Linked DNA regions of Oryzias latipes. The protein of the gene in region 1 purifies or fractionates together with the protein of each later gene. This does not show direct contact. Links are inferred from orthologs where the notes say so. Each region holds a gene or a part of one and is shown on either strand. Other genes may lie near its edges.

Evidence for each region.
Region 2: the proteins of dmd (region 1) and sntb2 purify together in Homo sapiens (co-immunoprecipitation; 4 studies listed by BioGRID and IntAct, counting the BioPlex papers as one, with this or other methods). This does not show direct contact. The link is inferred for Oryzias latipes from reciprocal best matches to the Homo sapiens genes DMD and SNTB2.
Region 3: the proteins of dmd (region 1) and sntb1 purify together in Homo sapiens (co-immunoprecipitation; 4 studies listed by BioGRID and IntAct, counting the BioPlex papers as one, with this or other methods). This does not show direct contact. The link is inferred for Oryzias latipes from reciprocal best matches to the Homo sapiens genes DMD and SNTB1.

Annotation. Positions count from the first base shown.
Region 1 is NC_019860.2:218,200-221,812, reverse strand, and holds the end of dmd (dystrophin), read right to left. Parts: intron 3,347-3,613; coding exon 3,232-3,346; intron 3,154-3,231; coding exon 3,064-3,153; intron 1,689-3,063; coding exon 1,663-1,688; 3' UTR 1,660-1,662; intron 1,533-1,659; 3' UTR 548-1,532; downstream 1-547. UniProt on the Homo sapiens protein: Anchors the extracellular matrix to the cytoskeleton via F-actin. Ligand for dystroglycan.
Region 2 is NC_019864.2:27,643,468-27,647,121, reverse strand, and holds part of sntb2 (beta-2-syntrophin), read right to left. Parts: intron 3,476-3,654; coding exon 3,253-3,475; intron 2,473-3,252; coding exon 2,262-2,472; intron 1-2,261. UniProt on the Homo sapiens protein: Adapter protein that binds to and probably organizes the subcellular localization of a variety of membrane proteins. May link various receptors to the actin cytoskeleton and the dystrophin glycoprotein complex.
Region 3 is NC_019874.2:10,569,657-10,573,310, forward strand, and holds part of sntb1 (beta-1-syntrophin), read right to left. Parts: intron 3,618-3,654; coding exon 3,380-3,617; intron 1-3,379. UniProt on the Homo sapiens protein: Adapter protein that binds to and probably organizes the subcellular localization of a variety of membrane proteins. May link various receptors to the actin cytoskeleton and the dystrophin glycoprotein complex.

The DNA.
Region 1 (3,613 bases):
AATGTCCTTGGAGATCAGACACAAAGGGTCAGATCGAAGGTTAGCCCCACCCCCTTCTTTCATGTGAGTGCAGGGGGGGTAAACGTTACAACAGTTTGTTAGAGATGTGAGCAGAAATGGCAAAAACAGAAGAACTCATCAAGGATCTATGCATCAACACCTGTGTGGAGGACATGTCCTCTGGTCTACAACAACATGCATCCTGGGTCCATTGGACCCCAAACAGCCCCAAAGCCCCAGTGTGTCTGTCCACTGGTAACCCATCCATGGTGAACTCTAACCTCACTTAACAGGAACCAGGTCGGCTCCTGTGACTCTGAAGGGGTTAGGCGGGTCCCTCCCCTCATCATCTTCAGTCTTTTCAAACATCCAGGTTTACTTCAATAGTTGTTTCTGAACAGTCAGACGGTTCTTGGCTTCAGGCTGCTTTGATGAGCAGAGAAATGGAGCTTTTTGTCCAAATGTACCAAAGAGGACCAAGTCCAGAGTCCAGCCGTCAACCTGTGGACCTGGTCGTCAGCCTCACAAACACCACGGCGCCAGCAGCTGGACATAACTGCGTGCTTTATTGATACATAGTAAAGCATTTCGTAATACAGTAGTAAGGCATACATTTGGTGGAGTCTGATATGTCGTGAAGAACAGACGTTTGTTGATTCACGCACAAACCATCGGGTCATGCTGCTGCTGAGGATGTTCACTTCCACACAACACACACCTCCAGACCAGGAAGGGGCGGAGTCTGGTCTGGCTCTTGTTCAGCTTGGGCCGGATGAGTCAAATCGTTTTGGGCTGCGTTTTTGGACGGGTTGTTCTTGTTTCAGGTCGTGGACTTGGATCCTCCTGGTTGGGTCTGATACTTTAGCTGTTTTTGTATTGCATTGGTTTCTATTTTCCTTCTTCTGTCAGTCTGGTCTGTAAACCAACATCAGTACGGCAGAGACCGAGGACAGCGGGTGTAGGAACCAAACTGCACCTGTAAGTCCAACCCCGCCCTCTAGTTACAGACTGCACCTGTACTTAGCATGTCAGGTTACCACGATGGTGACAAACACCTATAGTTTGGCTCCAACAGCCATTCAAACAAAGGGGCGTGGCTCTACCTGCCCAGTTACCCTTGGTATGCAGTAGTCACACACAAACACACATCAGTCAGAAGCGGCGTCCTCTTAGAAAACGTATTATTACAATCATTTTTTGATAGAAATGTGTGAAATGCTCGGGCTGCTCGTCAATAGAAAGAGATCCGGTCTGTCCCTCTCCGTTTTTTTACAGTTTTGCATAGAAGTTTAAAAACCAGAGAATGACGTCAGGACGCGTTAAGAAACTACTCAGTCTAAGTTACAACAACCATCATTCACAAAAATAGATGTTAGAATTTCTTTGTAAACTCTTCAATCCAGTTGTTTCGACTAGAAAAGCATGCTTTATGTAGGGGGCGGGGCTAGAGTTCAAAAGGGCTGTCCCATGGCGTCCTGCGCGTCTGTCATGGCGATGACCGCCGACTCCATGATGGCTGGGGGTGCTGGGACCTGACGGGGAGGAGAGCAGACGTTAGCGATGTCACGTTCTCATGAATGAGCCTGCTCCTGTGCTGCCCCCTGTCTGTCAGGAGGACACACTGCAATAAAAATGGATGATGGGGAGTGAGGCACTGACCGCTCAAAGATGATGTCCCCTTCTCCCTCCTGGACCATGGAAGAGCAGGCGCAAGAAAGAAGATCAGAGCAGTGCTAGGATGAACAGAGAACCCCCCACACCCACCCCAATAAAACAGATGTGCCTTTTAACTGAGCTAACCTGAGGCTTAACTAGTGGGTAACTTTGGGCAGTTTTCCAGAGTTAAGCTTTTAGCTCCAGCGATGTCAGCGGCTACGCCTAAATATCACACACCCTTTCACTCACCGTAACATTATGATCATTTTAGATTAATTCAAAGAAAACGGCTTTGGGCTGATGAGTCAAAAGGAAAAAAGAGCCAAGCTGCCGTTCTTAGCATCACTATCTGTTGGTATTCTGTTACATTAACTATCATAGTTAGGATCAGATTATCACAGAATTACTGTAACTCTACGGAGGTCTAGGTGATTGACAGAATCGTATCAGACTTACAGAGTCATTGTAGCTCTATGATTGTTTATGTCATTCATAAAGATATACAACAGCTGTGTTTGTCAGCACAAAGCTGTTTCTCTCTGCTTCAGTTAACCGTGTAGACCAGGGGTCAGGAAGCTATGGCTGGCGAGCCATATATGGCTCTTTTGATGGTCACATGTTGCTCGCAGACAAATCTTTAATTATACTTTTTTTTTCATTAGACCAGTCCATCTCGGGTTTGATGCCATGCCAGAGGCGCGCAGTAGTAGCGGTGCTTGGAGAGAAAAATCTGCGCCAGCGCTATCAGTTACTATTATCTATTATTTCACAGAGTTTGTACCAACTGGAAACCTTTGAATTGCCGTGCCTGGGTACAGGCAGCAGGGATGGTAAAAACGTAAACCCGCTGCCCGTCACTCACTGCAGTGTGAGTGTGTGTTTGGCTCTATGTCTGTCTCACATCTACACCTACGCTCTCGTCTAGGCGGGAGAGAATAAGGAGTTGCTGAATTAATTGTACGGCGTTTGTTGCGGTCTGCAGTAACCAGAATAAAGAACCTCAAAAGAAGTTAAGTCTCTGTGCCTCAGTGTGGGAAAGGGACGCTACATTATTGTATGGCATTATGTGGCATTTATGGCTCTCTTGGCCAAAAAGGTTCCCGACCCCTGCTGTAGACAGTCAAAGGGTTAAAACATTTCAAAGAACGTCAACATGCAGCTAGAGCTCCACCGTTAAAGTCTCAGCTGACACGAGTTCACAGCAGGAAACAGAACTGAAAACAAAGATCCTCTGACGCTACATTTCTAATTCTTGTAGCTTAAAAGTTCCTAAAAGTCCACAGGTTGAGTCGTGGCGTCTGGACTTAGCGTCATCAGTCAGCCCAGACGCCACGACTCAACGTCCAGACAACGTCAGCTGATCAAACACCCAACACCTCAGCAGTAAGGAGAGTGGAGACAGCGCACCCTGGCTGTGAGGAAAGGTATTGTTGAGCTGCTCCATCACTTCTTTTAGACCAGATGCATCCTGGGAAGGGCTGGACAGATCATCATCACCTGCAAAGCATCAACAGATGTTTGGCGTTTTCCCGGCGGCTGATCGTGACAACGCCGCTGCGCCATGGCGGCACTCACCCATGGTGTCGGTGGTCTGGCTGGCGGCCACTCGTAGGACGGGCAGGGAGGAGTCAGAGCGCTGGGAGGAGGTGGAGGGCGAGGACAGGGCCGTACCGTTCACCTTGGAGTCCGTCTAACACACACAGAGTTGTTGATGTTCATCAATCTGGTGGTTTTGGTGACACTTTCAGACGCTTCTGTTGTCGCCATGACAACAGTAAACCTCATGGGGCGTGGTTTTCACCGTGCGTTCACACCGGGCTCAGAAACGCGCGTTGAAGCGACCACTCCCCTTGAAAAATCGATGTAAGGGTTTGGAGGCGGGACTTAACTGGACGCCGCCCTGATGAGTCTGAGACTGCAAATGAAGTAGCTTTTCACCAGGAGAGGGCGCTGTTGA
Region 2 (3,654 bases), on another chromosome or scaffold:
CACTAATATTCAACTTTTCTTTGTTAAATCAACACTTTTTATCCCTTTGAACTCAAATATATCTTCATAAAGTGGCTCCTATGCTTAAAACATGATTCAAAATAAATTACAAATTAAAAAATAATATATATGTTTTGGAATAAATGCTTAAACATTTGCAAATTAATGGGGGAACAATGTTGTCTCAGAGGTGAAAATGATTGGGAAACGGATTTAAATCCTGAACTGATTTTTAGTTGCTAAACAAACATTATATTATAGTGAAGAATTCCATTTAAATCTTGAGATAAAAAGTTAATGTTTTGCCAATTTTAACTAAATTATCAAGTTTAAAAAAAACATTTTTAAGGCAGTTTAAAATATTTTCCCTTTCTGAAGGATGGTAGAACAGGCAAAAGTGCAGATTTTAGTTTAATAAATGTTTTTCACTGAAAGTAGAGAAAAAAACAAGTTTTGTCGTTTGCACAGAGGGGCAAAATGAAACTAACTGAATAACATTAATCAAGAAAGTCCCTAAAATAAACAACTCCCACCCCTCTGTTCAGTAAATTAACCCAACTTTTGCTCTGTTCCTTGTTTTTGGTCACTTCTATAGCCTCCCTTTGTGGTCACTGCCTTTGGTTTTTTAAATGATCCAATCTAACCTTCATGCAGAGAAAATTTACTTTACTTTAATTACTTTTTAACCCCTCGATATCCATCAATCCACTACTGCTCCAAACTTACCTTCATTTAGGACTCGAAAGAAAAAACAAAAGTGACAATTTTTCTTTCATCGCTGGAAACAGATTCAGGCGTCAAAGGGTTCAACATTTTCCCAGCAGATTCTGACTACCGGTAATCGTTTTGGGGTTTTGCCGCTGCTAAATGCTGAGTTGCCACAGGGGAAGGAGCTGTGTTGTTTTTAGTGTTTTAAAGCAGAAACAAGTGTCAGAAAATGAAGCTTTGATGTGTTTTTCATGCAGTTTTAAGGTCTACTTTCATGTTAACACACTTTAGAGCAGGGGTCCCCAAACTTTTTCCAGCGAGGGCCACATGACGTTTCCGTTCTCGGATCGGGGGCCAGGGTCAGTTTGAAACAGAAAACGTGTGACAGTCGCAGGGGGGCCAAAATGTCAACTGAAAGCCACACATAACCAAATGTTGATAACCCAATCTGATATCAAATAATCCTCTCTGGGTTATTCACCAAATAAATAAATAAATTATAATAATCAGCAAATATATATAATGAGACTCTTTATGAAATCAGTTAAAAAACAGAATTCTTTAAATAAAAAGTCAGGAAATATTAAGCAACAGTATTTTAGATTTTAGAAAATCAATAATAACCAAATAAATCTCTGTGGGTTGTTCAGAAATAAAGTTTCTGTTGTCCATGCACAAATTTAGGTAAATGTTCAACTTCAGTTGTAAGAGCAGAATCTCTTAAAGTTGTTGTGTTCTTTCCCCATAATCCATTTTGGAGTTTTTTTTAGGAGGTTAGTCTAGTAGACACCACTGTATGTTCTCTCTGATCAACTTCCTAGTTTAAATACCTGCATTCTGGATCAGTGTTTCAATTACCTAACCTTTTTGTCATTTATCCATGGGGAGGGGGGGTCCACATTCACGTTTTATGACTGGGGCAAAGTGAGGTTGCAGTAGCCACATTTTTAGCTTGGCTCACATTTCAATTTGAATAACCCTTGTGCTATCCTATGGGGTCCAGATGACCCGAGCCTTACGTTGACGTGTTCTCCCTACCATGACAAAGGTGGATAAAGGTGGAGAGGATTTCATCTAATCCACGGACACCAGTGAAGATCACAAATCATTGAAGCAAAAAGGTTCAGTCTAGTGGATCTAGATGACCCAACTCTCAAAGTTAAAGTGCCTAGGATAGCACAAGGGTTAAGCCTTATCGACGTGAGGAAACAATTCCAAAACGATTCAGTTTTCCACGCTTCCATGAGTCTCGAGCATGTGGCCAGCCTAAAGAAATAATGATGCCAAAATAAATAAAGGGTCTCTCTCTAGTATTGTTCAGGGGGCGGGGTCAAATAGGTGGGCGGGCCGGTTCAGCCTGTGGGCCGTAGTTTGGGGACCCCTGTTTTAGAGAAATTCTTTGCAATACCGACATGTATAATGACAAGAAAATATCAGGATGCTTAAAAAGGCACCAGATCACCTGGTCCTTAACGCACCACATCACTGGGTCTTGTGTGCAAAACATTGCCTGGTCCTAAACGCACCACGGACTGCATCTCACAGAAATGTACCTGCTCAGCCAGCCAGCCGATGTGTTTGAGGTGGGGGTGAGTGGGGGCGGCAGACGACGCCCCCAGGTACGCGTTGATGTGCGCCAGGGTGTGTGGGAGCAGCGCGGCGATGTTGGTGTGGATGGCGGTGAACCAGGAGCTGGCAGAGGGGCCGTCTTTGCAGCGCAGGACCACCGTGTGCTGGCCGTCCGGGGAGTGGAGCTCCAGCAGCCTGAATGCAACCAGAACGAAGGAAGATCTGACACCAAATCCAGCTCTCATTAAGAAAAGAGACACAAGGAAAACTGGTGGCTTGACCAGAATCTCTCATTTTTTACTACTCAACATCAGTAAATCTGTCATATTCTGAAATGAAGTTTGTTTCTGTCCATTCATTTGTTTATTTTTGGACACATTTCCCTCAAATTGAGCATCTTTTTTCTTTGAAATTCATATTTAAAGCATTTTGTCAGTACATTTTCAACATTTTTAATCTTTTCCGTGATTCCTTATTGTACTGATAACCTGATAACCAGGTCTCAAAGAAGGGACAGTTTTCACTTTGAATACAGTCAATAAAAGGGATACTTTTTTTAATTAATTAAAACATATAGGGGAGAGAACAACCAACTCCTTTATGAGTCTTGGGAAAGGTTAATTTCCACCATGACGATTTTTTTCAAGGTGATTTTTTAGGGCAGGCGTATAAAAGCAGACAGGAAACCTAAAATAGAAAGATGAAGAAAGTCTCTTGTGTGCAAATGAACCAAATTCCAGGTTATTGCATTTTTTATGACTAAGGCTTTTCTGCTTCATTATTTAACGGATGACAGATGCTGCTAATGCAGATGTTTTACAGAATGTGACCCATCAGTTTTAGTTCATAGACCGCTGCACAGAGCTCCCTAAAGAGCAAACATTCCAGAGGAATGAACAGGAAATGGCCACAAACCCACCACAAAGACCACACCTAACCTCCCACACGCCCAGGTATGTGTGTGCAGCGCCGGACCTGTTTTCCAAATCCGGCATGGAGAGGTTCCGGCTGATGAAGCACATCTTCAGGCTGATGACCTTCCTGTCTTTGGACGGGGAGGAGGAGCTGCTGTGTTTAGGAGAGCCCGAGTCCTCGCTGCCGCTGTAGCTGGGCGACTGCGGGCGGACGCCGTCCCACGGCAGGTCTGCGACCAGCGACGGTTTCTTGAAGAGCGGAGACACCTCACGAATGTACTTCACTGCGGAGAGAAGGAGACCCATTGATAAAAATTGTGTTTTTGTGGCATTTTTTTGATGATGGAGGCCATATATAAAGAAAATACACTGAAAATGACTTTTCTGAGTATTTTCTTCATGAATCAGGAGCAGAATTTGTGAGAGACCCGCTGGGGGCATTGATTTTCTCAGTGGTTCTGAG
Region 3 (3,654 bases), on another chromosome or scaffold:
TTTTAATTTGATTCATAAAGATTGTTTTGATTTTAAATGAAATTATTGATCTATAGATGACAAATGGTTCTTTAGAAAATCTCAGTGTAAAAAAAAGATAACAGTTTGAGTAAATGCAGGTTAAAAAAACATGACAAGTTCTGCATTAATAATTTCAGGATGCTGTAAGTCAGTGGGAGATGGATGTGCTAGAATAAGATCTTTAAAAAGACACCACAATAATAAATGGAATAATGGAGTAGGACTTAAAACATCATCATTTGGATTTTATAACTACACACTAACACACCAGAGAAGAGTGAGCACTGAAAGCAGAATTATTAAAGACAAGGTTTCTCTGAAGATTAAGCTTCAAGAGAGCCTCACTCAAAGCAGGTCACAACAGATTTGTGTAAAGAACAAGATATGATGACATTTTCTAATGAAATAGTAAAATATTGCACTCTGTAAGAAGCTGAAGAGGAAACGGATCGCTTTGCAAGGTACAAACAGCCAACGCACAAAGAAACTGAAATTCAATGATTAATGGAGCTGAAGCAAAACTGCTGGATCCCAAGAAATGAAGCCATTGATTAAAATATGCAATTTAAAAGGCCTTCAAAATGTCTAATAAGGAATTAACTTCAGAATCTGTGTCAAAAATAAATAGTACCATTTCTGGTAAAATTTAATCAACATTAGTTTAAATACTTAAAAGTTGTTCTATCAAAGGTTAATAAATCCAGAATCAAACTCTTTTATCTAGTATGTTCATATTATGCTACATCCCATGTATCGTCATCATTCAGGCAGGGACATTTTTTTTAATGGGAACAGCAATGCTCATGGTCATTTCTTAATAGATTTGTTTATTGATGTTTTCCATCTGCAGTTACGTTCTGCTGTCCTGTAGGCTCTTCAGCAGAAACTTGGTAGATTCTTTAATTTTTTTTTTATAAAAAAATTAAAGGCACTCTAAGTGAAAAAAAATTAAGAAAATAAATAGCACCAATTATCCTGAAATGTACACAAAATGTGCCCTCTTTTTTTTATCTAAACAAAAATTAAAACACTAGTTTCTAACACAAAGTGCAAAAAGAAATCTCTAACAATAAAAATTTCCCAGATTTTCTTACCCCTTAGCTGTTTAACAATGACAATGCACAGACATCAAAACAATGCAACACTAAATCTTAAACATTAAACTTTGTTTTTGCTGTCCAGATTTCTATAGTTGAAGTCGGACAATATTGATCCAGAGGATATATGCCCACGGTTTTTGCTTTAGATTTCTAGACTATTTATTTTTCTCTGGTTCAAATATTCTAGATTTAAGAAAAATTAGGTTTAAGAACAATTATGCATGTTATATATTTTAAAATGAATTTTGTTAAAAGAGGAAAATTATTCTAAAGGGAAAGAAGCTACACCCAAAATAATGGAAACTGCTCAAAGGGGCTTCCACCTACCTGGAGGGGGGGGGGGGGGGGGGGTTTTGATAAAAAGCATAGAAGGAAAGAAGAATTGCGAAGGATTGCAGCTCAGGACTGTTGCAAGCCATAGTAATAGATAGTAATTCCGATTACAATATAGAAGATTCTGCAGCAATATTGAATGGCTGAAAATTGTTATGCAGCCATTCGCACTGCGCACTGTTCATGTCTGTTGGGGCTTATTCCTCATCTTTAAGGATTTTTTGGACCTCCTGCATTTTTTTTTTCTTAATTGCGAAAACAATCTGGTCCTTGCAATCCATGACTGCTGCAGGACTTAATTAAATGTGCCTAGTTAAAACTGATCATCTAACCCTTTGTTTCAGATTTGAGAAAAGAGGCAGATTTGCAGCTGGTCTCTCACATCTTAGTTTTCAGGTTTAAAAGCAACAGCTCTTATGTAAATTTGCATATTCGTGTCCGCTTTACACCTTTGTTCGTTTTCTATAAGCCTTTTTATCCTCTACATGGTCACAGGATTTGCTGGCACAATCGGTGCAGAGTATTGGCTATATGGGCTGCCAATTAATTACAAGGCCACACACAGATAAACATTAAAAAAACACAACAAGAACAACAGCACTCAAACCTTTATTCAGTTTTAAATAATAAACTAATTATATCCTTTTTACGCTGTGCGGGTGAAATCAAATTCTTCAACCAAATACCTGCAGAGATTTCAACGAGAAGCTTTCTGGCTGTGAGTTGACCAACAAATCACCCTGCCGCCTGCTTCCAATTAAGAACAAGCTTCATTAATTAGACATACAATCATATTCAACAAAAGAAACATTTATTTTTGGGTATCACGGTAACCTTTTGCCCTCTTGTTTTTGTCAGGTTAATCACAACTGATCTGCAAATATACACTTTAGACCTACAGGGTCACATTTTACTACTGTGGCTTGTCGTTGATGTTTCTTTCCTTCTCTTCACGAGGTTTAGTTCTGCACAAAATGACATGCCGATGAAGGGATTGATTAACAGGGAAACTCTCAGAACTGTGAAGAGTGAAAAACGAAATCATGAAGAGAGATTCAGAGCCTGATGGAAAAAGAAACTCATCTTTCTTTTGGGAACACGGATGATGAAAGAGAAGACGGGGATAGGACAATCACAAGCTGCAGGAAAGCACAAACAAGAAGGAAAGATGGTAAAAACAGGCAGCAGGGAGGATGGATGATAAAGTATTGCTCACAGGGAGAGAAAACACTGTGGTGGAAGGGACACTAAAGTGGAGGCTGATGCCGGAAACAGACTGCTTTAAATCTAAGAAAAAAATCCTTCCTGTGTCTCCATTCACCTGAATATTACTGTCAATCAGAACCATCCAAAATGGCTGGAATAAAATCAAATGTGCTTGAGTAAAGCCTGACAAAATGAATCATTTTTAAACTTTCATGATAATAAAACACTTCCATTTTGACCAAGAAAATCCGGTACGCAAAGTCACAGTTCCTGAAATGACCACTGGGGGCGGGTTTCAGAAGAGAATAGTTTTCTATTAATGTCTATGCTAAGATTGATACCAAAAATAGAAATATATATATATATACAGTCTGGTTAGAAAAAAAAGGTTTGATTTTGCCTTATTTCCTATTATTGATAACTTTTTCTTGTTCAGTCCCCCTTTTTTTGAACATTGTTAATCATAGCAAAGTATTTCCATTCAACTAAAGTATTGCTATTCAGAGAATATAGATCTAGAGGATATATGTCCACGATTTTAACTAGAGGAGGTTTTTAGACTTTTTATTTTCTCTGATACCATAATGCTAGAAAAGGTTTAAGAACAATAATGCATGTTATATATTTTAAAATATATTTTGTTAAAAGAGGAACATTATTTTAATGGGAAGAAGCTATACACAAAATGATGGAAACTGCTCAAAGGAGCTTCCACCTACCTGTTCTCAGGATCTGGTGTGGTCATTCCTCGTGTTACATAACACATCTTCAGGGGTATGCACCTCCTGTCACCATTCAGGGGTGGTGCAGGCGGGGTAGAAGGACTGGGAAGGTCAGGGGAGGGGCTGATGTGAGGGCTGCTAGGACGGGGGGATTCAGGGGGCGGAGTTTCCCAGTTGATCTCTGACACAGGAGAACCCCTTTTGACATACGGTGTGGCCTCACGCATATATTTGACTGGAAAGGAAAAAAGCATTGCTTAGTCAATACAAAG